Lytechinus pictus: one gene and its partners. The protein of the gene in region 1 purifies or fractionates together with the protein of each later gene. This does not show direct contact. Links are inferred from orthologs where the notes say so. Each region holds a gene or a part of one and is shown in the gene's direction. Other genes may lie near its edges.

Region 1 (7,725 bases):
AGAAAAAGGGAGGAACTAGGAAGAAGAGTAAAAACAAAAAAAAAACAAAAAAAAGCGGTCTTGGTCATCATTATACACACTAAGAAATATGGATTTTAATTTGAACCCTATAGGAGTTGATACAACAGCAGCATCCCAAGTGCAATTATGCTCATTTAAGTAATAAATAATAACAATTTTATATACCGCAAATTCGCAAATTGCCTCTAATTCTACATTAAGGGTGCAGTGAGCTATATTTAGCACCCTGTAGGGAGCAGAAATGAAACATATGTATACAGGAGCAAATTACAACTTTTTAAATGTAAAGTATTATGCACTTTAAACGGTTCAAATTTGCACCTATCAGGGTGCAAACAAGAATTTCTTTGTACAAATAATGATAAAAAGGTGCATTTTGCAATGGCACTTAGGGGCACTTAAGGTGCAAGATTATACCCCAAAGGTTGGTACAAGTTTTTCATTCAGGGTTCAAAAATTTCTTAGCCTGTATCAATTGAGAAAAAAAAATATGCCGCCATCTTTTGGTTGCCTTGCCGGCTACATCAAAATATCATGCCCGCGGCAACCCGTCCGTATCATGTAATTTATTATATTCATGCCATTTCTGCGTTGATTTGTTTTAGCGGTCTACTTTGTTCTGTGACGTCATAAACACTGGCGTGCAAATGGAGGGGGGGGGGGAGCTTGGGGTATGAACGGTCACCCCCAAAAAAAATTTACGACAAAGAAAGAGACAAAGAAAGACAAGGAAAGGAAATGTCAGTTTATCTTAATTGTGATATACGTCGTGTATATGATCCTAGCTGTACCAGCCACCTCCAAGGCACAAGGTAATTTGCCAAAATTTTATTGTATTTCATTTCATCCAACATCAAGCCGGGCTAAGAAGGAGAAGAAAAGCTAGAAGAAGAAGAAGAAGGGGAAGAAGGAGAAGAAGAAGAAGAAGAAGAGGAAGAGGAAGAAGGAGAAGAAGAAGAAGAGGAGGAAGAAGAAGAAGAGGAGGAGGAGGAGGAAGAAGAAGAAAAACAAAGAAGAAGAAGAGGAAGAAGAAGAAGAAGAAGAGGAGGAGGAAGAAGAAGAAGAAGAAGAAGAAGAAGAAGAGGAGGAGGAGGAAGAAGAAGAAAAAAAAACAAAGAAGAAGAAGAGGAGGAGGAGGAAGAAGAAAAACAAAGAAGAAGAAGAGGAAGAAGAAGAGGAAGAAGAAGAAGAAGGAGAAAAAGGAGAAGAAAAAGAAGAAGAAGAATGAGGGGGAGGAGGAGGAGGGGGAGAAGGAGGAGGGGGGGGGGGAGAAAATTGAAAACGGTAAGATGTGATATCATTTTCAGAACGTCATAATCAATCCAAAGAAAAAAAATCATCGTAAAGAAATCAAGTTTATGGACACACTCGCTTCGTTCGCTCGGGACTGTTACTTTTTTTTTAATCACCGACACCATAGTGTTCACTCGATATATATATATATATATATATATGTATATATATATATATATATATATATATATTTTTTTTTTTTTTTTTTTTTTTTGGGGGGGGTCATTTCGCCAACGCACTTATAAATTAATCGTGGAATACATTGTGTATGCTAAATGCCATCAACCTTATATAAGGGAAGAGCGACGGAGGGGGGGGGGGGAATCCCAAGAATTTATAGGCGTTTCGATTAACAGGCGTTTATTTATTTTCTTCACAATTATTGAAATACATTCGTTTTGTCCCCGCAAGACTAGTCTGGGTGTCCTAATGATCTGCCAACGAATGATCTGCACAGTGGCGTAACTACGGGGGGCATGGGGGGCACGTGCCCCCCCCCCAATCGGCTGGCCAAAAAGAAAACGGGGAAAAGGAGAAAAAAGGAGAAAGGAAAAGAAACGTAGTGGAAAAGAAGAAATTATTGTTCATTATAATGTTATATTATATTATGATCATGTTATGTTAATGTATATTACATAAAGAAACATTTTTTTCATAACTTTATGAAACATTTGCTCAGGGCCTATGTCTTCATTGTTCCTGGTGCTCGCATTGTCTGTTTAACTAGATATAATAGATCAAATAATTTTTTTTTGGAATACTATAGTTTTCAAGTATATTTGAGAGACGTGACGTTGTCAAATCAAATCAATATTCACCAAATATATTTCCTCGCACTTCGAGCTATTATTATTATTATTATTATATAGTGATATATGCTTCTTTTTCATGACTACTGAAAGTGATCGCCCCATTTTAAGGTCTTGATATAAAACATTTCCTGTCCGTGCTTACGTTCGCATTGAAGGATTTGTGAGATATGTCTGCTCTTCATGAATTCCTAAAATCAGTCCTTAAAATGTCCCTTTTCCTGATCTGAATATTAAAAAAATTTCAGCTCGCGCTTCGCGCTCGCATCATTTGGTTAGTGAAATACGTATGGTCTTAGCAAATTATGCCCCTCTTCAGGTCTGAATTTCCTATATTTTCAGCTCGCGCTTCGCGCTCGCAATATTTGATTAGTGAGATGTGTATGATTATCATGATTACAATGACTACAAAAAGTGCTTTATGTGTATATATGTAATTCTAACCAAATCAGCAAGCGCTTGGCACTCGCATTAGATGACTATGGTGTTGTATTCTCCTCATGGATTCCTAAATATAGCCCTTAAAATGTCCCTGTTTGGGGTCAATTTATACAAAAATTTCCATATGGAAAACTAGCGGACAGAAGGTCCTCGCTGCACGCGCGCACCCTTATAACACGCAGAATTCCCTTGCATTATACCCGTTTTTCACAAACAAATGTGTATCAAGGACAAGCGTTGATTCAGATAGAATTTCCGCCCCCCTGAAATGAATGGTAACAACTTCTTCTATCAGATGACCATAATTTTTTTTTACATTCAATTGGTGGGAAATATGGCACTTTATTACATTAAAATCACTAGAAACCATCCATAGTCAGGAATATGTATTGGGATATTGGGTTTGGGGGACATTTTTATAGTACCCGGGTGGATTATATCCGTCGTCACATCGGTGGGTGGTGGTATCATGAATTTCCGCCCAGATTTAATAAAGGGCACATTGTAAGGCAAATACTCATGAAAGAACCATGGAGATTTGTTAATAAGGAAATAGGGCACTTTTATCATCAAATCAGATGAGATTTTCTTTGTGATAGTGATGTCCGAAGAGCAAACCTACACTCGTGACGGGTCCATTATGTATACGAGGGGTGCATCCTAGCTTACCACTGCATAGCTAAATCTGAAAATTAAGTTTTGCTTATTTCTTTCATTTTATAATGATGTTTAAATGTTCAAACAACGATAATTCATGAAAATTGACTCAAAATATTGCGAATCAACGCTGAAACATTATTTGTGTATACATTTTATCCCTCTGTAATGCTATTTCCCCCATAAAGCCGCAATGGAACATTCCGCACCACTAGTCAAACGTCGTCTGCTATGTTTTTACATGTCCGGTACACTGCATACAAGTTTTCGATATGGCTTGCGCTTCGCGCTCGTATTGTTTATTTAGCGAGACCGGTACGTAACATGATAACAAGAAGTTGCTTATAATGTCGCTTTCTAGGTCTGAATATCAAAAATTTTCAGCTCGCGCTTCGCACTCCCATTATTTGATCAGTGAGATACATATCCGTTTTATGGCACTGTCGTTAAATTGTCTCTATTATGTCATTGTCAGTATAGCTGGCAAATGAGCGCGCTTCGCGCGGTCATTTAGTGACTCAAATGTTTGCTGGTGCCCCCCAATGCCGTGACCCACGGTACGCCACTGGATCTGCACGACTCACTATTTTTCACTGGCTGCACTAGATTTTATGTTCTTATTTATTTATTTATTCATTTATTTATTTATTTGTTTATTTATTTGTTTACTTATTAATTGATTATTTATTTATTTATTACTATGATTTTTTTGGGGGTATTACCTAATTATGACGTCATATTTTTTATAATTCTTGATAACATTATATAGGGTATTGTTATACGGTGGACCAGACCTCTATTTTTTTAGAAGGCCTATATACTTTTTGAAATTCATAATCATTCCTTTCAGTATAATTTTATACTCCTTTTACTCCCCCTCTGATAGTTTTCCTTTATTAATATGTACTTGAAAAAGGGGAAAATCATAAGGGGTGGTCGCCCTTCTATCTCTCAACAATAGTCCTTATAAGGCTTAGACGATGGCTGAAAAAAAAACCCATAAAAGTAGCGTGGAAAAGTGCCAAATTCCCGCCAAATTACCACATTAGTCCGGCCAACGGTGCTGCGTGTGTCATTCAATTTCCCGCCCCAAGGAGTAATTCAGGTTATTTGGGTTATATATGCATATAATTATACTATACTAAGTTATATATAAACAACTACAAAGAATATTATCATATCACCACTTTTATCATATTTTGTAATGTCTCCGTGTAAAATAGAAAATGAAGAGGCACTATCAAAATTTATCGTCTATGTTGAAATTGATTGGCTAAGAAACATAGATGTCTAAATGTTGCTATGCTAACTGCTAGATAAAACAGACTTTGTCGGATAAAATATCTGACGAGTCATTTCATGAGACGATTCCCAGATGATGCAGATCATAAAGATGAGATGATGTCATAAGAAATAATAAGATGCTTTTACGCACTCGCCATTTACCTCCTCATTACCGTATCTTTTATGACGTCAATGGGATGTATGGCAGGCCGTCGACGTCCGCTGCGAGAGACAACAGCCTGTGAGATGGGAGACCCGGATTTCGCCGATAATGACTGGGAAACTTCACAAAAATGTTCGGTTTTTCGATCGACAATGGATTCATATAGGTTTGTCCTACATTTTACCTTTTTATTTTGCAAATCATACTGCGTAATGCTGAATGAATATAACAATTGTATTGAAAATAATTACTGTAGTCCCGCCTGCTTACATCGATGTAGTGTAGTTGAGCGTCAATCATCTTGATTTGCATGCATTTACATGTAGGGCCTATGGTTAAAAAAAGAATAATAAAAATACACATCTATTTTAAATGTGTTTCGTTATCATAGTTATTTGTTGATTCAGCTAATCTGAGTTCCTGACATTCATCTGTTATTGGAATGAAAGTATGGCTCTCCCAAAATAAATCATAAAAATTTGGCTGCCTTAATTTAATTATTAAATTTGCAAAAAAGTAATCAATCATCATTCTCGTTCATTGTTTAACATTTTTTGTCTAGTTAGTGATGTTGACTATTTTTTCAGTTTTAAATCAATCGATAATGATACTATTGATAGCATTTATTGCATTGAAATTAGACCAAACAATAGTTAATTTCATCTGTAAAAGCAAGAAACTTGACTTATCATTTAATTGGTCTCACTCACACAACATGCGAGGTTAGTATACCGTACTAACCTCGCACAACACATGTGATTTCATAGTGCATTTTGACGTTTTCATTCATCACACGAATGTGAGGGACTAAACTACGCCAAACCTTTCAATATTTGTCCGCTATGTTAATCTTGATCGTATGATCAAGTTTATTTGAAAAAGCAATTATAAATTATTTATTAAAGTGTTTTTATCGCTTACCTCCAAATCTCAACCAGGATACTTCGCTCGGTCCGTCCTTAGTCATCCTTCGTACTGCGGTGGAAATTACGCAAACAACAATCGAAATGCGAAATTTTCCTATCGAACATTCTCGATTCAAGTCGTCGGCGCATAATAGGAAATTGTACCAAAAATCAACATAGTTCTCTATTTATTCAAACAATTTTTTCTGGGGTGCACTTGACCTTTAAGAGATTTTCCAATGAAAATATTACATGGAACTTGGAAATACAAATCATAATTTGGTTGAACAAAATGTTTTCTGTTAAAGTATAAAACAGAAGAGGAACATATCCTTCATGTATTTTTATATCCAAAATATGTTGCCTTAGTATGGAATAATCACAATGACATAAAATGAAAATGGGTAAAGTACCTTTCTAATGATCATTGAGATTTCGCCTGTGGAATCATTGTTTGATAATTTTCAAAGCTTTAAATAGATGAAAATGTTCATTGAGAAAATATACATATATATGTATGAACAAAATGATAATGTCCCGATTGTTTCGCATTACGTGTGTTAGATTGCGGGCGTTTGTGTGTGTGTGTAGGAAGCAAGATGTTCGTGTTAATGTTTGCACAAAAAAGGAGAGGGAAAGGGAAAGGAAAAGGGAGGGGGAAAGGTAGAGGAGAGAGAGGGAAAAGGAGACCATAAAATAGAAAGAAAACAAAGGAAAGGAAGAGGGGAAGGGAGAGGGAAAGAAAAATGGAAAGAGCGAGAAAAGAGTAGGGGAGGGAGAAAGGAAAGAAAAGAAGGGAAAGGAAAAGCGAAAAAGGGAAGGGAAAGGGAGAGAAGAAAAGAAGGGAGAACGAAAATGGGGAAAGGGAGAAGGAGAGGGGATAATGAAGGGGATAGGAAAATGTCAAGTTTGAAGATCTGAATATTAACACTAAAACAGAATTAGACTCCCATGTTTTATTTATAAAAATACCATCTTTTTCATGATTATAAAGGTTCAACGTCCCTGTTCTAGGTCTAAACTTCAACATAAATCTACTGGCGCTTCGCGCTTGAATTCTGGAGGTCATTCCTCTTTTAAAAGTATAGGTAATCTGTCGGACTTTTCAAATCCCAAATTTAAATCTTAAGCGCAAATGCCCTCGCATTATTTTTCATTTAGATACAGTCCTGTCATCAATATCAAAAACTCTAAGCGCGAGCTTCGCGCTGGCATCATTTTTGTAAGCGACATTTATGATGTTGTTCATATTTAAAAAATGTCCATTTGTTGAGGTTTAAATGTCCAAAAGTTCAGCGCTCGCATAATTTGTAAGGTAAATAGACCTACCCTTTTAATTGTTATACAAAGGCGCTTATACAACGTCCAGAATGCAGTTCGGAATATTGAAAATAACTATTGGTCCCGCTATTTCTGCCCGTGCGACAAGCATTTATCATTTTGAATCATGAGATTCACCTTTAAAATATGATGAAAAAGTATCGTTAAGACTGAATTAAGAAAAAAAGAAGCTCACGTTTCACGCTCGCATTTTAATTGATCCGTTAGCTTGTGATAATAATGGTGACTTCGTTAATATATCTTAGCGGACATGTCCACCTTTTGGTGCTTCAAGAAAAATAAACACAACACACAAATAATAATAGAAAACGAACAAGAATAGAATAGATAGTTACCTATCCCACTCATGAATTCTTATTTAACAGTCCCCAAAACGTATTTTTTTCGTGTTAGCTTATTTCATATACATATATATATATATAAATATATATATATATATATATATATAGGCGTAAATAAATCAAGCATTTTATATATATATATATATATATATATATATATATATATATATCTTTCACACAATATTTAAATAAAAGAGTTGCCAAAGCTGTAGTACATGTATAACTTCACACACATATATATATATATATATATATATATATATAGGTCTCCTCATCATGGTTATAAAAAGTGCTCAGAATGTTTTATTTTCAAGTCCTTGTATCAGAATTTTCAGCTCGGGCAGCTCTATCGCATTTTGATTACTATCCTGTTGATTTATTTACTTGAACAAAATATTTAAAATGTCCAGCTTTTAGAACAGATATCAAAAAAAGGTATTCACCTTTGATCATAGATGAGGAAGAAGAAA
Region 2 (8,018 bases), on another chromosome or scaffold:
ATTATTATTATTATTATTATTATTATTATTTAGTAGTAGTAGTAGTAGTAGTAGAGGAAGTAGCATACTGATTTTATCATCATCATCATCATACTAGACCCTTTTTAGCGTATATGCCGCGTGAACAAAGAATACACGCTTTAAGATCAAAATAAGTCATCAAATTGATAATAATTTGTTAAATTACGATTTTTTGGTACAATTTTGATATTCAAGGTTCAATATAAAGTAATTTTCCATATTATTTTAAGTGTTATCATTTAGCTTGGATTTGGCAAGATCGTCCGGACATTATTAAAACTAGACCACAATTCTTAGGCATTTTAGTGCTCCACGATTCAAATCAAGTCTTCTGCTATCATAATGATAAGTGACTTGGGAGAATACTATCCAAGGACGAAAAAAAAACACGACATTTTCTATTTCTCGTATAGACAGGAAATTCGAGGCTGAAGAATAAGAGCACCATGCATGTGAATTATTTAAGCTGAAAGGAGGTGACAAGCACTCAAAAACTGTGATTTAATCATGAATAAATTGACCTTTACCAGAATAAAAACAGGGGAGATTTTATCAAGAAAATGGGAGAAATGGAAGTGAAGGAATAGACTGCGCGACAAAGAAAAGTTTTAGATAAATGGGGTAAATATTGAGAAGAGGCGTGAGAGTTAGGCTTTAATTTATGGAGAGTGAAAATGAAAGGAAAGGCAAAGGGGTGTAGAATAATGGTATGCACCTTAAAGAAAGCTGTATCATCCAAATAGATCCACCACGGAGATCCGGGGCGGTTTTATCAGGGGCAATTCATCGACATTATTTTATTGTCTGACAAGTTTTCAGATCAGACAACCATCCAATCAGACAAAATTCCATTGCATTGATTGGCTGAGAAGCACAGGTGTCAGAATGTTACTATGGCAACTGTCTGAGAAACCTGTCAGTGTTGAGTGCTGACAACTTTCATGCAAATCGTAGAAATGTTATTACTAACAGAATCAGATTATAGTACAGAAATATGTCAAGACGTTCATTCAATAAACTGCTACGAAACTAATGATACTATCATCACATCTGTTTATGTGTATATACATGTAAAATGAATTATAAAAATGATTTGTTTAAAGAATCGGTTTAATTGTTTCTTCATAGAGGTCTTTCTATACATATATTCATGAGGGCGGGATGGGAATGATGCAAAGACAAAGACGATGATAGGTGACTCTCCCTGATTGGGGGGAGGGGGGGGGGGGTGGGGAGGGGTGTTTTGCATAGAGCTGTCCTTAGTGCAATGTAATGAGCAACACCATATTGAGGGGCTGAGTCTACTGAAAGTGCTCGATATCAGAATAAATGTGAGGGAGCAAAGCGAGCAAGCAAAATAGACTTTCTTTCTTTTACCATAAATTTGCTTGTGGAATATTATGCCGTATTCACCGTATTCTATTCTTTATCAATGAAAAGGTAGGGGTATAGGGGAAATGGAAGACAAACTTACTTTAAATTGGCCAGATGCAAAATATTAGTTGGAAAATACAATCCAAAGATTGGTAAAAACTGATAGTTACCCAAAGTAAAACAAAACTGTTGCGGACACTAGACCCTATGTCGGTGATGGTTACACAGGGCATGAATTTATTTCTTTAAAAAGTCAATGTAACTTTAATTCTTTGTGCACTCATTCGAAACCGATTTATAAACTCTATAGAAACAATATGAATCTCGGAGTGCAGCTTTAAGGAAAACTTTTGGTAATGGCAGGCGTACGACTCTGGCTGGCTCAACGCCTTAAAAGTTTGTATCCGACCCGACTTGCTTGCTAATTATAGTGAACTTGCCCCGTTCCTGGCTACGAAATTCTGTGTCGATCGTATAATGCCACAAATGTTCTCGTTCAAGTCCATATAACACGTACATGGAGACCTGTAACTAAGACGAGACAGTCATGAATCGTCGAGAGCAGAGATTTTATGTGTCGTTTTGCCGGGCTGCTCCAAGATATGGCCAGCGGGGACTCCAACCACTTCGTAAGTTGGCCTCTATTTTAATTAAAGAGATAACACATCAGTCAAATCCTGTCTTTGATTATTAAGTTTTACTTCGCCTCACATCAAGCAAAGTATTATTATCAAGCTGATGATGTGCGTACGCACTGCGCTTACAGGTCATGGCTCAATGTTCTGGTGACGCTTTTTTTTATGTTCTAATATAATCATCAATATGAGATAAATGAATTTGCTTGAGGTGCAAGATATGTTCTTACGAAAAAATAATCCTCGTTTTTTCCTCGGTAATCTATTATACTAGTAACCTTTTGCTCTTATCCTTTTAGCGGATTTGCTAACATAAAACGATATAAATCTTATTTACCTGATATATGTTTGTTAGTGGGGGTAATTTGTGCGTGTGTTCGTGTGCCTGTAAACTTCTTAAAATACTAGTATAGGAGTCCATTTATTGGGAGGCAACTTAATGTTATTGTTGTTATAATCGCCCGATAGTAATTGATTAATTTCAAGTGCAGATAAAAGCAATACATAATTATTGAGCAGGTGGGAGATGTATTTATGGTGATATATATATACAGATGAGGCCAAAAGTGTAAATACACCCATGGAATTCAGTGAAATTTGTTCGCTTGTCAAACATCCCAAATTTACTATATCTTCAGAAATATAAATACTACCATGACTAATTTAAAATAATGAAAGCGCGTATTATAAGCTCTGGGATAAAAGCATCTTTCAGGTGAAATTTTCTTTGAAGACAAGAAGTAATATTCGTGCTAAATGTATTCTATTGTTTGTTATTATATTTTCAAACATCGTTTCATAGAAATATATAAATGTAAAATCTATGAATTATATTGCATTTTCTATCATGATATGTCACCACTGAACAAAAAAAATGCGATCTGAAATGTTTGTGTTGAAAAGTAACAAGCACAGTATGAAATGTTTTTGTCAAGTTTTCATTTTTAATTTGTCTAAAATATGAAGATTTTTTTGTGAAAAAATGATACCTAAATATTTTTCAGCTCCTGATGACAAAGCAATGTGATGAAGGGGCAGGACGTACTCATTTATGTGATATCTAATTCGTCATGATAGCACAAACATTTTATAACTTATCTTCGAATTTCCTGGGTGTAATAAATTTCTTCCAAAATTATGTTTATAAATACATTTTTTCGCCATTTACCTAAAAGGCATATAATAGTTCGATGGAAAGTATATTGTGTGCAAACTGCAAGGATTACTCTTTTTTCATTCTTTTTGATGATTAGTTTATCGCATTTAACCGAGCACCATAATTGGGTATCACTTTGATTTTTTTTTGTGAAATTACATAGGCCTATCGATAAAATTGGGGAAGGCATGAAAGGGGTGGATGAGTATGCGAATCGCAATTGGGCATTTTCAACAACCAAGTATAATGCTAACCGAGCGCCCGGAGCGTTCTCCCAATTTCCCCTTCCTCGTGAAGTGCGGAAGCTTTCGCATATTTCATATCGGTTTTTAAAAATAGAAAATTGAGAGCATAACAAAATCGTCAAGGTTCAGACCGTCAAAAGCTGATTATATCCCTTTTTAACGAAGGGAAAGAAAAAGTTAATTACTCAATGGTTATTTCTTCATATTTCGAAGCGCGGATTTAGGAAGAAGACAACTTAGATTCAACATGATTTATGTAAAATGTACGTGATGTCACATCCCCACTTTTCTTTTTCTTATGTTTTTACATGAAATCATAATTGTTTCATTATTTTATAAATGTGTAAATGATGTGTCTCCATTAAGAAATAAGTTGCGGCGAGAAATAACTAATGCACTTAATTAGTTGTCAATCCAATTGTTTTATAGTTCTTGGTATAACATTTTTGAATAAACCCTTTTTTCATGTAATAAAATACAAAAGAACTAGTGGGGATATTACATCATTAGCCCACCTAATGACTTGCCTGTTTCACCGCGGAATAGTGCAAATCTTTAAAAATTTTATGACTTTGTTATTTCTTATCCGATTTTGATCAAATTTTCAGCATTTTGCTCTGTGAGTTTTACTCTATTTCTTGAGATATATATTTTCAGCCTGGAGCATCACTTTAACACATAAATTTGGTCCTTCTCAGGTGATACGAGAAATGAGGGCAACTACTGTATAAGAAGGCAAATGGGCACTTGCAAACGGCATAAGACGGGTCCTTCTCAAGTATGAAAGGGGCACAGAACACATTCATGAGGGGCACTTTTAAAGGGGCACTGATTCGAGAAAGGGCACGTACAAGAAGCCAAGGGGGCACATAAAAGCTTCTCAGGTGAAAGGGGCACATGACATGCACGTTGGAGAGGGGGCATTAAAAAAAAAAAATTGGCACTTATTTATACGAGAAAGGGCACGTGTTAACACCTAAAACGGGTGCTCCTCAGGTGAAAGGGGCACAGTACACGATCGTGAGGGGCACTTTTCTTGCGTAACAAGGGCACTTTTCAGTGCATGAAAAAGTGGGGGGGGGGGCACTGTGCCCCGGCCCCACAGGATCGCCGCCCCTGATTCTAAACAAATAGTCATTTTTATTTGAAAAGCTCCTTAAATTGCCCTTTTATTAAATTTTGTTTTAAGTCTAGTCATAGGGGTGGAAGTTTACTTTAACCCACCTATATGAGTCTACGGTACATGAAATAAATAAACAATAAAAAGATGGGATATTGATATTGATTCTAAATTTGATCGTTGAAGCATGACGTATAGAGTTATACTATTTTTTTTAACCACCCCTCCTCCAATTGCCCCAAAAGACATTGGATAGAACGCATATTCCATAAACGAGGCCTAGAAAAATGATGCAGAAGAAAGGAAAGGGGCGAAAATGGAGCGGCCCTTATTGTGAAAAATAGTTTTTATTTTATACCTAAATTTTCAATGTGAATATGAAAAACATCTATCACATTGGGCTACCATTGTGAGGTTGACAAACAAGTGTGATAATATTGTGTTTTTCTTCTATGGATTTTGAAAACAAATTTATTAGCTTAATCACTTTTCACACTGAGTCGAACTATGGAGCCTATAGTTAACAAATCATTATTCTCAAAAGAATGTCAACAAAGAGATCAATAGAAAAATATAAATAGATCGCCGAGATACCAAATTATTGTGCGCATGCGTCATAATTTCCAAGATGTCTTCTTCCTTGGACCTACGACAAAAATTGAATCAACTCCAAATTAGCATTCAAGATGAAAACAGAGCGAGAAAAGAGAGGCCATCTATTGATTTTAATTTAGAATCACCTAAGATGCCTCGGCAGAGGCCAGGTAAGATCAATTCCTCAAGCTTGATCATCACTTTTTGATTTTTAGAGCGTTTATGGCTTATGCAATGAGAAGATGAAAAGACATCAACAATACACTGTCATTGCACTCCACAATCTGGTGGCAGTGCAGTGTGTCGATGCAATGCACTCAGCTAGCTCAGCGCTGCATCCGATATGCAAGCCCTGCGATGCGGCGCGACTAGCGACTGTGCTTCGGCTAGATTATAATACTACGCCGTGTTTTTTTTTATAACAAAACATTTTTTCCCCTGTTGCGTTTTTCTATTTTTGTTATAAATTAAGATAAGAATTATTGAGATAAATTGAGAACCAACTTCATATGATCATATGGCACTGCCTGACCGACCGCCTTCATTGCTTTATTTTTATTTTAGTTTACAATTAATGAATTATGAGATACAGTCCGACCTCTCTTTAATCCGGACATTTTGGGACCAGCACCATCCGGATCTGCATGATCTGGGAGACCCAATAAATGATAATACACGCAGCTAACTCCCCAATGGTAGCTACGGCCTACACGTAATCTACTGTAGTGAGCGTACACAGACAGTATTCACTGACTGCTCGATGCTCTCAGTGCAAATACAGGCGTTTTTTTTAACGGAAATGAAATCGATTGGTTGCCAAAACTCATAATTTTCCTGCTGATGAAATGATTGAGGAATACATCAAGCATTCCTCAATCAAAAGAAAGAAAACAACTTGATGAAACTTAGACAGCTGGCAGCCGTCTGCTTCGAGGAGTTTTTTTAACATTAAATTTTTTTTTTAAAATTTCTCCTCGTACACAGACGGCTCGCTATCGTGCAGCCAACATTAGGGGGTTAACAATGCAAATTCCCCCGACGGGGCTCATCGATTTTTGTCTTTATTTCATAGAAATATATAAAAAGAATTGTACCAAAATAAAGATTATTCCGTTTTGGCCTGAAACGCTCCAAATCGGAGAAAAAATAATAAGGGGAAAAAAACAGTGATTTACTTCGGCTGTCGCGCAACTTCACTTCCCTGTTTTATCCAAACTTAATAATACATAAACATATGGCCATTGAGTCCCCTGTATAGATCGAGCTAGAACTTCGGTCTCTGTATTTGGTGAGTGGAGCCAACGGAGTTCAGCGTAACAACCAACATAACAGAGACCGAAGCTTTTGGTCTAGATGAAACTAAGTTGAAAATTGGATCATCGCAGCTTTGCAAAGTCAGCCATTGTTAAGTTATACTGACTGTAGGCTCAAACATACATGTAGATGGCGCTCTCCGTAATGCAAAATGAAGCCTGAGCAATAGATGTGTTTATGTTTTTTTTTCCCCCAAAAAAACAATTTCGCTGTTCCCTGATTTACTGGAAAATTATCCTGTCTAAGTTAATTTGGTCTCCATAAAAATAATGTGGTTGTAGGTAGACTATATTGGAAAATAAATGTAATCAAAGAGAGTTTGCGAAGGAATTTTGATTTTAGATTGAAATCTCATCTCCCCATGTACGGTACTAGATTTAAAAAAATCTCTGCAAAACGTGTGCGTCCAGATAATAGAAAGATCCGGATAAGGGTAGGCCAGTTAAGAGAGGTCGGACTGTAATTTTATTACTCAGTTGCATGATTGATTTGATTGTAATGTTAGTCCTCTAGAGTAACTGCGTCGGTGCGCGGCTGGGGTTGGTGTGCAGCACGCTAAGCAGACTCGGCAATATACCAGTACTACTGAAATCACCAACACACTCTAGACATGTACACTACACATTTACTAGCTCACTCCCACACTACAAAATGGTTCATTGAAATGGACAAAATTTTGAACAAAAGTGAAAATTTCTTACCTAAATCACCATATCCTGCGTCATAAATATCACACTTGCTATATTTTAACATTGCAGTTAAGAATTACGGGGTCCAAAAAAGTGGATTTTTCATGTTTTTCCCAATGTTTGTGGATTTTGAAAATGTCCGCACTAAGCCTGAGTCGAATCGATTTTAAAATCGGTGTTCGATCGATGTCATCGAACGCCGGTGCAGATTTTGCAAAATCGGTGCATCGAGAAAAAAAAAAATACGTCGGTCGATTCTTTGGTTCACACAATCAATCATCAAAATAAACAGTAATGTCCAACTTGACTACTACTTACTTGATTTATATTGCCCCCAAAATGAAACCAATTATGTAATTATGATTACATTACAGTCTCACTCGTCTGCTCGTGCCGAGATAATTTATGCACGATGAATTCATGAATGGAAGTCATCGCCATCGATCGTGCATGCGCAGTACTGTGCTTTAATCAAACCAGAAAATGGCCGGAAAATTGACTCGATCAACGTAAAATAAATCTTGCTTTCATGAACAATATTAATATCATGACCATAGAACATTATTTAATCGTAATATTTAACAATAATTTTCATATGATAATCATTAATATGAATTTAGAGCTTGATGTGAACCGTTTGTATTTCGTTTCAATTTTCAATGACGGACATCACATGACGATCGACTTTAGTGAGTGCACTTGTCTAAAACAAATAATTATCACGTCAGGATTGATTCTCGAACATTGTCAACATGCAGAAACTCTTTTCAAGATCGTTATATCACCATATAATGTTTTACATGACAAAACAGAGAAAATTGCGTTTGATATTTTTCCCATCAATTTGAAGCTAGTTTGTGCCCAACTTTG
Region 3 (7,679 bases), on another chromosome or scaffold:
AATTTAAATGTAAGGTGGTTCATATATATGGGAAAGAACTTCAAGAAGAACCACACAATGAATGGAGTCGGACAGGCCAAAGACCTTCGGAGTAATTATTGATAAGGAAATAGATTTCCACCAGAATGTGGCAAATCCAGATTCAAGCAAATGAAATTGAAGGAATGATAAAGAGAACATTTCGGAAAATATCAAAGGATATGCTTCCCATTTTGTCCACCATACTTGTACGACCTCATCTTGAATATGATAACATTGAACTGTGGCATTCATAAATTGGACTAAGATAAAGTAGAAAAGGTGCAACCAGGGGTGCAACACGAAGAGCAACAAAAAGCTTCACTGAGTTCTACGATCGAGAGCTAAATTATGAAGAACGTTTGAAAGCACTCAATCTACAAAAGAGGTGATATGACTGCAGTCTTCAAAATTCTGACGGGTCGACTTGAAATTCTGCCGGAAATATTTTTTTACACAGTAAAAAAAAGATTATACAACGCTGTTTACTATATGAACCTTACAGTAATTGTTTAAACAGTTTAAACAACTGTTTAAATTTTAAGCAACAAAGTTTAATTTTCAATATCTTATTTTCAATAAATTAAACATGATTGTTTAAACGGTTAAACAAATACTGTATATAAGGTTCATATAGTAAACAGCGTTGCATAAAATCTTAAACAGCGTTTTTACTGTGTACAGTGCAGAGTAACCAGAGGACACAATCAAAACTCTTCATGAAAAAGATCAAGACTGGATGTTAGGAGTAATGTTTTACTCCATGAGTTGTAAGAGATTGGAGCAATCTACCTCGAGAAATTGTAGAGGCAAAGTGATTTTTAAATGTTTAAAAAATCGGATTGACGAATTTGATGGAATGGGTTATTTAAATACCACTAATTCAAGATGCACAGTCAAGTTTAAATTAGCCATAGAAGGATACATTCTAAAAATCAAGGATTTAAAATAAATCCAGATCGGCTGTGGATAGTGACCAGCCGAATGTTGGATTTATTTTGAATCTTTAGGATTAACTTACTAATCTCAAAGGATTTAAATTCAAATATTTTAGATTTATATTTCAGTGTACAAGGTTTGAAACTAAATCTAATATTCGGCTGGTCACTATTCACAGCCGATCTGGATTTATTTAAAATCCTTAATTGATTTTAGAGTATAGTAGCAATCAACATCGATATCAAACGTTAAAGGAGAAATCTACACTGTAAAAAAAAATTAGTAGAAATTACTTAATAAAATTGTGGCAAAAAATTGCCTTAATTTTTTCAAGTATTTATGACTTTGGCAGTTTTAAGTAAAATTTACTTATTTTCTTTGCTTCCATTTTACTCAAGAAAATTAAGTTACAATAACTTAATTCAATTAAGTAAAACAATCACTAAAATATTTGAAAATATCAAATGGGGGAGTGGATGGACTTTCGTGATTCGAAAGTCCGCTCCCCCATCGTCCCACTTTTGGTGGCATCATTTTCATTTTATACATGTTTTATCCAAATATTAAACTTTGTGAATTGTCACTTACCTGTACATGTATAGGTACTGACATTGATATTTATACGCGATCGTTTCATTCTTACAAATAAAACAGTGAGAATAATTTTCTGCTAAATGACTATTTAATGTTGCCTTTTCTTTGATTCAACAAAAGAATACAATAGTTAGCACACCCTTATCCAAAACAATTTCAAACACAAATAGAAATGACAGTTATTAAAAAAAAAACATTTACTTGCTCTAATGAATATTCATGCATTATTTAAATATGGCGTTAATTGAAAATATAAGTACATTCAACATTATTTTATAAGTAATAATCATCTTTGCCTAATTGAGTTAGATTTACTCAATCAAAGCAAGCTATCAATACGCGAATTTTCTTAAATGTATATTGAACCCAAATAAATCAAGTAAATCAAGTAAATTAAAAGACAAGTTGAAACTACTTAAAAACAACGAAAAATAATTACAAATTGTAAATTCTACTTAAATACATTAAGTGTTAACTACTGATTCAATGTTTTTTTTTTACAGTGTAGGGCCCTGGGCACGATTTTGTAGTAGGGTCGCTGATGTAAATTTGACAAGCAAAAATAAAAGAGGGAGGGGTTCACAACAAATTGAAGGCCATTTTGATCCCGAGAAGTTTGACAAGAAAAAAAGAAGATAAAAGAAAAAAGGTTCCACTACAAAATATAAGTAATTTTGGTTACATTTGTCAATTTTTTAACACCTACCAGAACTCCAAGGGGTGCTGCCTAGCGCCTGTAATATACGCAGCACCCCCAAGGAAAATCGCGGTCCGGGTGCAGAAATCAGCACCCCCGCTTCCCAGGGCCATGGAGAAATCCTATTCATCCGTACTATCCTAATGTGATGTGATTGTATTTCTCTTTCAGATCGGAATAAGGAATTGAAGCAGCCTCTGTGATAATTTTTATTTCTTTGCAAACGCAGCCATGAAAATGAAACATATCCGCATTACAAGGTTTTAAAGTAGGCCTATAACAAACAGGTGCGTCGTCACCGTCCCATTGGTTACCGCGCTCTGATTGGATAAAAGTTTTTACTCCTCGTCGGTGCCATTGTGACGTCACAATCTAAAAGTTCGTTAAGTGTGACATCACAATGGCACCTGCGCGGAATAAAACTTTTATCCAATCAGGGCGCGGTATAACCAACTGAATGGTGAAGGCGCACCTGTACCTGCATAATAATGGTGAAAGTAGGTCACACCGGACCGGACCATGCATGATGCAATTTGTTTTTATGGCATTTTATGCAATCATATTGTTGTCCTGTTAACTGTTTTGTGGAAAATAAACGAAAATTTAAAATGTCATAACTTTCTTATTTTTCATCCAATTTTGATGAAATTTTCAATATTATGCTTGTTTGATTTTTCTCTATTATTTCAAATCAACATTTTTCTGGGGTGGACTTGACCTTTAACATACTTTACATGGAAAAATCGTATAATCGTGATGATAATGCAATTATAAAATCTGGAAAACAATTGAAAAAAAAGTAGGCCCTATTCATAATTTATGAATGAGTGCGGAGGCAATTACAAATGCAATTATTGGTGCTGCCACCTTCACAAAAACTGGAAACTGAATATATGATATTGTGGAGTATAATCATGATGTCATGAATACTGAATACCAGATTGAGCATAAAAGGGGGAAATACACATTTTAACACAATGACACAAAGATAATTACTCCAAAAAACGAAAGGCGAAAGAGAAAAGAAAATTTGGTCAAACATTATTAGAATATTTACTGAGAAGTTGGGTTTTGATCTCCTTTTAAAAACATTTAATGATAGATTTAACATAAAGTGGTATTTTGTTCCAGATAATATTGGTCCTTTGTAAAACATACAATTCTTTGCTAAAGAGGTGATATTTTGGGTAGGTGGAAGTTTGAAGATCCCCTAGATCGTCTAAAAATATAATACAGAAATTACACACAAAAAGGAATGCTTTCGAAAGAACAGCTTGTTTATGCAATAAATAACTCGACATCGAGATATAAATTTTATTCAGTGTTGCAAATTGATAAGTTTCAATAATACGACTCGGGTCAAACTCTTTATTTATGCCTATACACCATTGAAATTTTAAACAATCATACCCCTTTTGGGAAAGTGTATGAAAAATGAAAAAAAAAAAAAAAATCACGTACATAACCGGGACAAGACCCCCCACAAAAAAGAAAGAAAAAAAAAAAAATAGATAAATAGATAAATAAATGAATAAATGAATAAATGAATAAATGAATAAATGAATAAATGAATAAATGAATAAATAAAAATAAACAAAATAAATAAATAAATCAAATACAAACAAAACAGGAAGCCCGAATCATGGAAAGCGAAGATCGAAGAGAAGGTGGGAGGGGGAGAACTGAAGAGGAAAAAAAGAGGAGTGGGAGAGGGGCCGAGGGGGGGGGGGGGGTGGGCTGGAGAGAGGAGGAGGAGCCTGCTGATTGGTAGAAACGTACGTTGGAGATTCGAGGTTAGGGCTGTATGGATAAGATTTCTCTACTGAAACTACTGAAACTACTTTTTTAATGTTATTATTACGCACTATTTAAAGAGAGAGAACTCAGAGATCCGTATTTTGCACCGAAAATAATTTGACAGATTGCATTTTTTTGTCTAGTTATTTGTTTGATTGTTTCGTGTTTTGTTCCACTGAAGCCCGAGAAGATTGGTCTTTTTTGTCTTGCGTTGTGTTAACGAGAATATTTGGTGTTTGTTTGGACTTTGGAGGAAGCCGGGGAGGAAGGGGCGGGGGGTCTGAGTGAAAAAAAATTCAAACAAATTTGTAGTTCGTAATTAAAAAGAAATCAATAGAATAGAGTTTTGTGATGCATTTTCAATTCATTTTTTTTTATTTGGGGGGGGGGGGTCTCAAAGGAAGGTAAAATGTTGCAAATATTTTTGGCTTTTTAAGTTGTATTTTAGATCAAACTGATCCGTAACATTATTGTAAATCATTGACATTGATTGTCGATTGATCGCCAGCGCACCAGCGCCCTTCAAATGGGGAATTCCCTTTTGTGAATTATCTCGGTGCGGCGAAACAGATGTCGTATCGGGATGAAACCTTTTATTTCTCCAGAATAAAGTAGCATTTAACAAAAATGGCGCGCCTGGAATCCCAGATGAGCTTCAAGGAGGAAGTTGATTTCAACGATTTAGAATTTGAGAGGGTAAGACCTTTGCATTAATTGTTTTTTTTGTGTGTTGGGTGGGGACACCAGACAGACTGCATTGCAGTGGAGTGCATTGTAAAGTTTACATGTAGTCCGGTACGTTTTTATTTGTGCTGTGTTGTGTATTTGTGCGGTGTACATGTATGGTAGTGGATCGTATTACCGAACACTTCATGAATTTGATCATATCAAACACATTATTCCAATAAAATTCACCAAACTTTCACCATAAATACACAAATACCTACAAGATATAAATATGCAGAAATTTTGCCGAAATTGTTTTTCATTTTTACGACATCAGCTTCCAATCGGACCTCTCTCCGGCTCCGCAAGTGAAATATTTTGGTCACTTGAAAAAGGTATCGTATTACCGAACGTGTGTTTTCTATGGGAAAAGTTGGGAAAACAACAAAGTCACTGATGAGCTATTTTGACCATATATTATTGTTTTGAGGATATAAAGACTTCGAAATTGTGTTTTTGATCATTTTCCATCATTTTTCTATTCAAGTTCCCTTTTGAAGGATGTTGTAAAGGTTTGAGCGTATTTGATTATTTTCTGACGCATATGATGCGCGCGTTCGGTAATACAAGGCCGGTCGGTAATACAATCACTCACTATATGATGCAGAAGCAGGGAATAGATATTGCCTATTAGGCTATTACTCAAAGTTTTTTAATGCTGAGCTCCCAGCTATTAAAGTTAAATAATGGTCCTGGATGGGTTCAAGAAATGTTGGGGGTAACAGTTTGTATTGTTATATAAGACAAGTCCACCCCAACAGATTATTTTGATAAAATTAAAAGAGAAAATTCAAACATACAACTTAAATAATGAACAAGTGCAAGCATAAGACATAACACTGAGAATTTCATCAAAATTGGATGTAAAATAAGAAAGTTATGACATTTTAAAGTTTCGCTTAAAGGGATCGTTTAACTTTGTGAGCAGCTGATTTAAAAAATTCTCAAACTGAGTTGAAACGTGCGTATGAGTGCCATTATTTGTCCTCAAAAACCCTGAAACAGACCACAATATAGGATGAAAAACTCTAATTTAGATACAAGTAGCAATTTATTAGCCTGATTTTGAGAACCGTCTAGTAGACGGGTTCAGCTTATGACCAGTTTTCTCCAATTCAAAAAGTCCGTTGGCTATTTTGACTGCCTTCTGTTGTGTGTATCTCCTATACACACACTATTAGCTGCACTGTACATTCAGTGTATACCTTGTACACACTGTATGTAGGTCATGCTGTGTTCATCTAGAATTAATGTGTTGTGCACAGATTCCCTGTATACACATAGTCATTGAAACCAACTCCCAATTATTTCAAACTTTGGTTTACATCTCCAAGGTTTTAAAATTGATCCTGTAAATATAATACTTTGAAACTTTTGGGTTAGTATTTTTACACTATAAGCCTCATGTCTAGCCCATTTTCAGGAACCAAAAGGATAATTTTTCAAATCGGAACAAAGTGAAATGATCACTTTAATTTCACAAAACAGTTTATTATAGGCACATCCTGGACGGTATGCAAATGAGGAGACTGATGTCATCATCCACTCGCTATTTCTTTTGTATTTTATTATAATGAAATATGGTATATTTTTCTAGACCCCTATTCTAATTTTCTCCCCATTGTCCTGTGAAAGAAAGTTTTATTCATCCTTGAACATGTGAATTTACCATTGTTTTAAGGTTTTATGGGTCAGTGAAGTTGGTACTTATTGTCGAACCTGTAAAAAATGAAATATGGAATAATTCAGACAATAAAAAATACAAAAGAAATAGTGAGTGGGAACATCATTGTCTTTCTCATTTCCATATCACTGTCTCTAAATGAAATTTGTTAGGTCGAGCATTCATTATATATAATTGGACTTTGTTTTGTACATGTAGGTCGTAGGCAAAGGAGCGTTTGGAGTAGTAAGTAAAGCAAAATGGCGATCTATGAATGTGGCTGTCAAGATGATCGAATCAGAAGAGGAGATCAAAGCCTTCAGAGTCGAGGTAAGTCGTATATCTTTTTACTTTTTGAAGGCCCCCAAAACAGTTCCATGACCAAGATATAAACTAGGGAAAAAAGGACAGGAAATAGGTGAAATATATTGTCAAAGTCTAACAAAATTAGCTACTCGTATTAAAAATGCTGTAATTTTTTTTGTTCCTCACTTGCAACTTATTAAACAAATTTTCTGCCACCTTAAAATATTTGGCTCAATATGCCACTGTTTTTTATGATGGTGGTGGTGATGATGATGATAATGGTGATGATGATGGTGATGATGATGGTAATGATGATGATGAAAATGGTAATTGACTAATGGTTATGATGATGATGATGATGCTGATGATGGTGATAAGGATGATGATGATGGTTGTGATGGTGGTGATGATAACGGTGATGTTGATGATGATGATAATGCTGCTGCTGATGCAAAAAAAAAAGTTGAGAACATACGATTTTAGGATGAAGAAGACAATATTTATAATGTTGATGCCGAATAATGGCAATAATGATGATGCACATCTCACTGAAAAAAAATCTAAATTTCAGGTCAGGCAGCTTTCCCGAGTGGACCATCCAAACATCGTCAAGCTCTACGGGGCGTGCACCACCCGCCCCGTCTGCCTGGTGATGGAGTATGCCGAGGGCGGGTCGCTGTACAATGTCCTTCACAGCAGCCAGCCGCAGCCCATCTACAAGGCTGCCCACGCCATGAGCTGGGCCTTGCAGTGTGCCAAGGGGGTCGACTACCTTCACTGTATGACGCCAAAGAAGTTAATACACAGGGATTTAAAACCAGCAAAGTAAGTAAAGTGTCAATAATAATAATAATGATAATAATTTACCCAGGGTAGCCACTCTCAGTTGTAAGCTGTTCTTCCAGCTGGCCCTGCATAATTATTGTTATTATTACCCTT

The links.
Region 2: the proteins of C-Jun-amino-terminal kinase-interacting protein 1-like (region 1) and dual specificity mitogen-activated protein kinase kinase 7-like purify together in Homo sapiens (affinity purification with western blotting; 3 studies listed by BioGRID and IntAct, with this or other methods). This does not show direct contact. The link is inferred for Lytechinus pictus from reciprocal best matches to the Homo sapiens genes MAPK8IP1 and MAP2K7.
Region 3: the proteins of C-Jun-amino-terminal kinase-interacting protein 1-like (region 1) and mitogen-activated protein kinase kinase kinase 7-like purify together in Homo sapiens (pull-down; 3 studies listed by BioGRID and IntAct, with this or other methods). This does not show direct contact. The link is inferred for Lytechinus pictus from reciprocal best matches to the Homo sapiens genes MAPK8IP1 and MAP3K7.

Annotation. Positions count from the first base shown.
Region 1 is NC_087263.1:12,638,499-12,646,223, forward strand, and holds the start of C-Jun-amino-terminal kinase-interacting protein 1-like, read left to right. Parts: upstream 1-4,694; 5' UTR 4,695-4,697; coding exon 4,698-4,834; intron 4,835-7,725. UniProt on the Homo sapiens protein: The JNK-interacting protein (JIP) group of scaffold proteins selectively mediates JNK signaling by aggregating specific components of the MAPK cascade to form a functional JNK signaling module. Required for JNK activation in response to excitotoxic stress.
Region 2 is NC_087259.1:22,221,337-22,229,354, forward strand, and holds the start of dual specificity mitogen-activated protein kinase kinase 7-like, read left to right. Parts: upstream 1-5,003; 5' UTR 5,004-5,179; coding exon 5,180-5,315; intron 5,316-8,018. UniProt on the Homo sapiens protein: Dual specificity protein kinase which acts as an essential component of the MAP kinase signal transduction pathway. Essential component of the stress-activated protein kinase/c-Jun N-terminal kinase (SAP/JNK) signaling pathway.
Region 3 is NC_087248.1:22,971,846-22,979,524, reverse strand, and holds the start of mitogen-activated protein kinase kinase kinase 7-like, read left to right. Parts: upstream 1-4,574; 5' UTR 4,575-4,672; coding exon 4,673-4,741; intron 4,742-6,653; coding exon 6,654-6,764; intron 6,765-7,311; coding exon 7,312-7,565; intron 7,566-7,679. UniProt on the Homo sapiens protein: Serine/threonine kinase which acts as an essential component of the MAP kinase signal transduction pathway. Plays an important role in the cascades of cellular responses evoked by changes in the environment.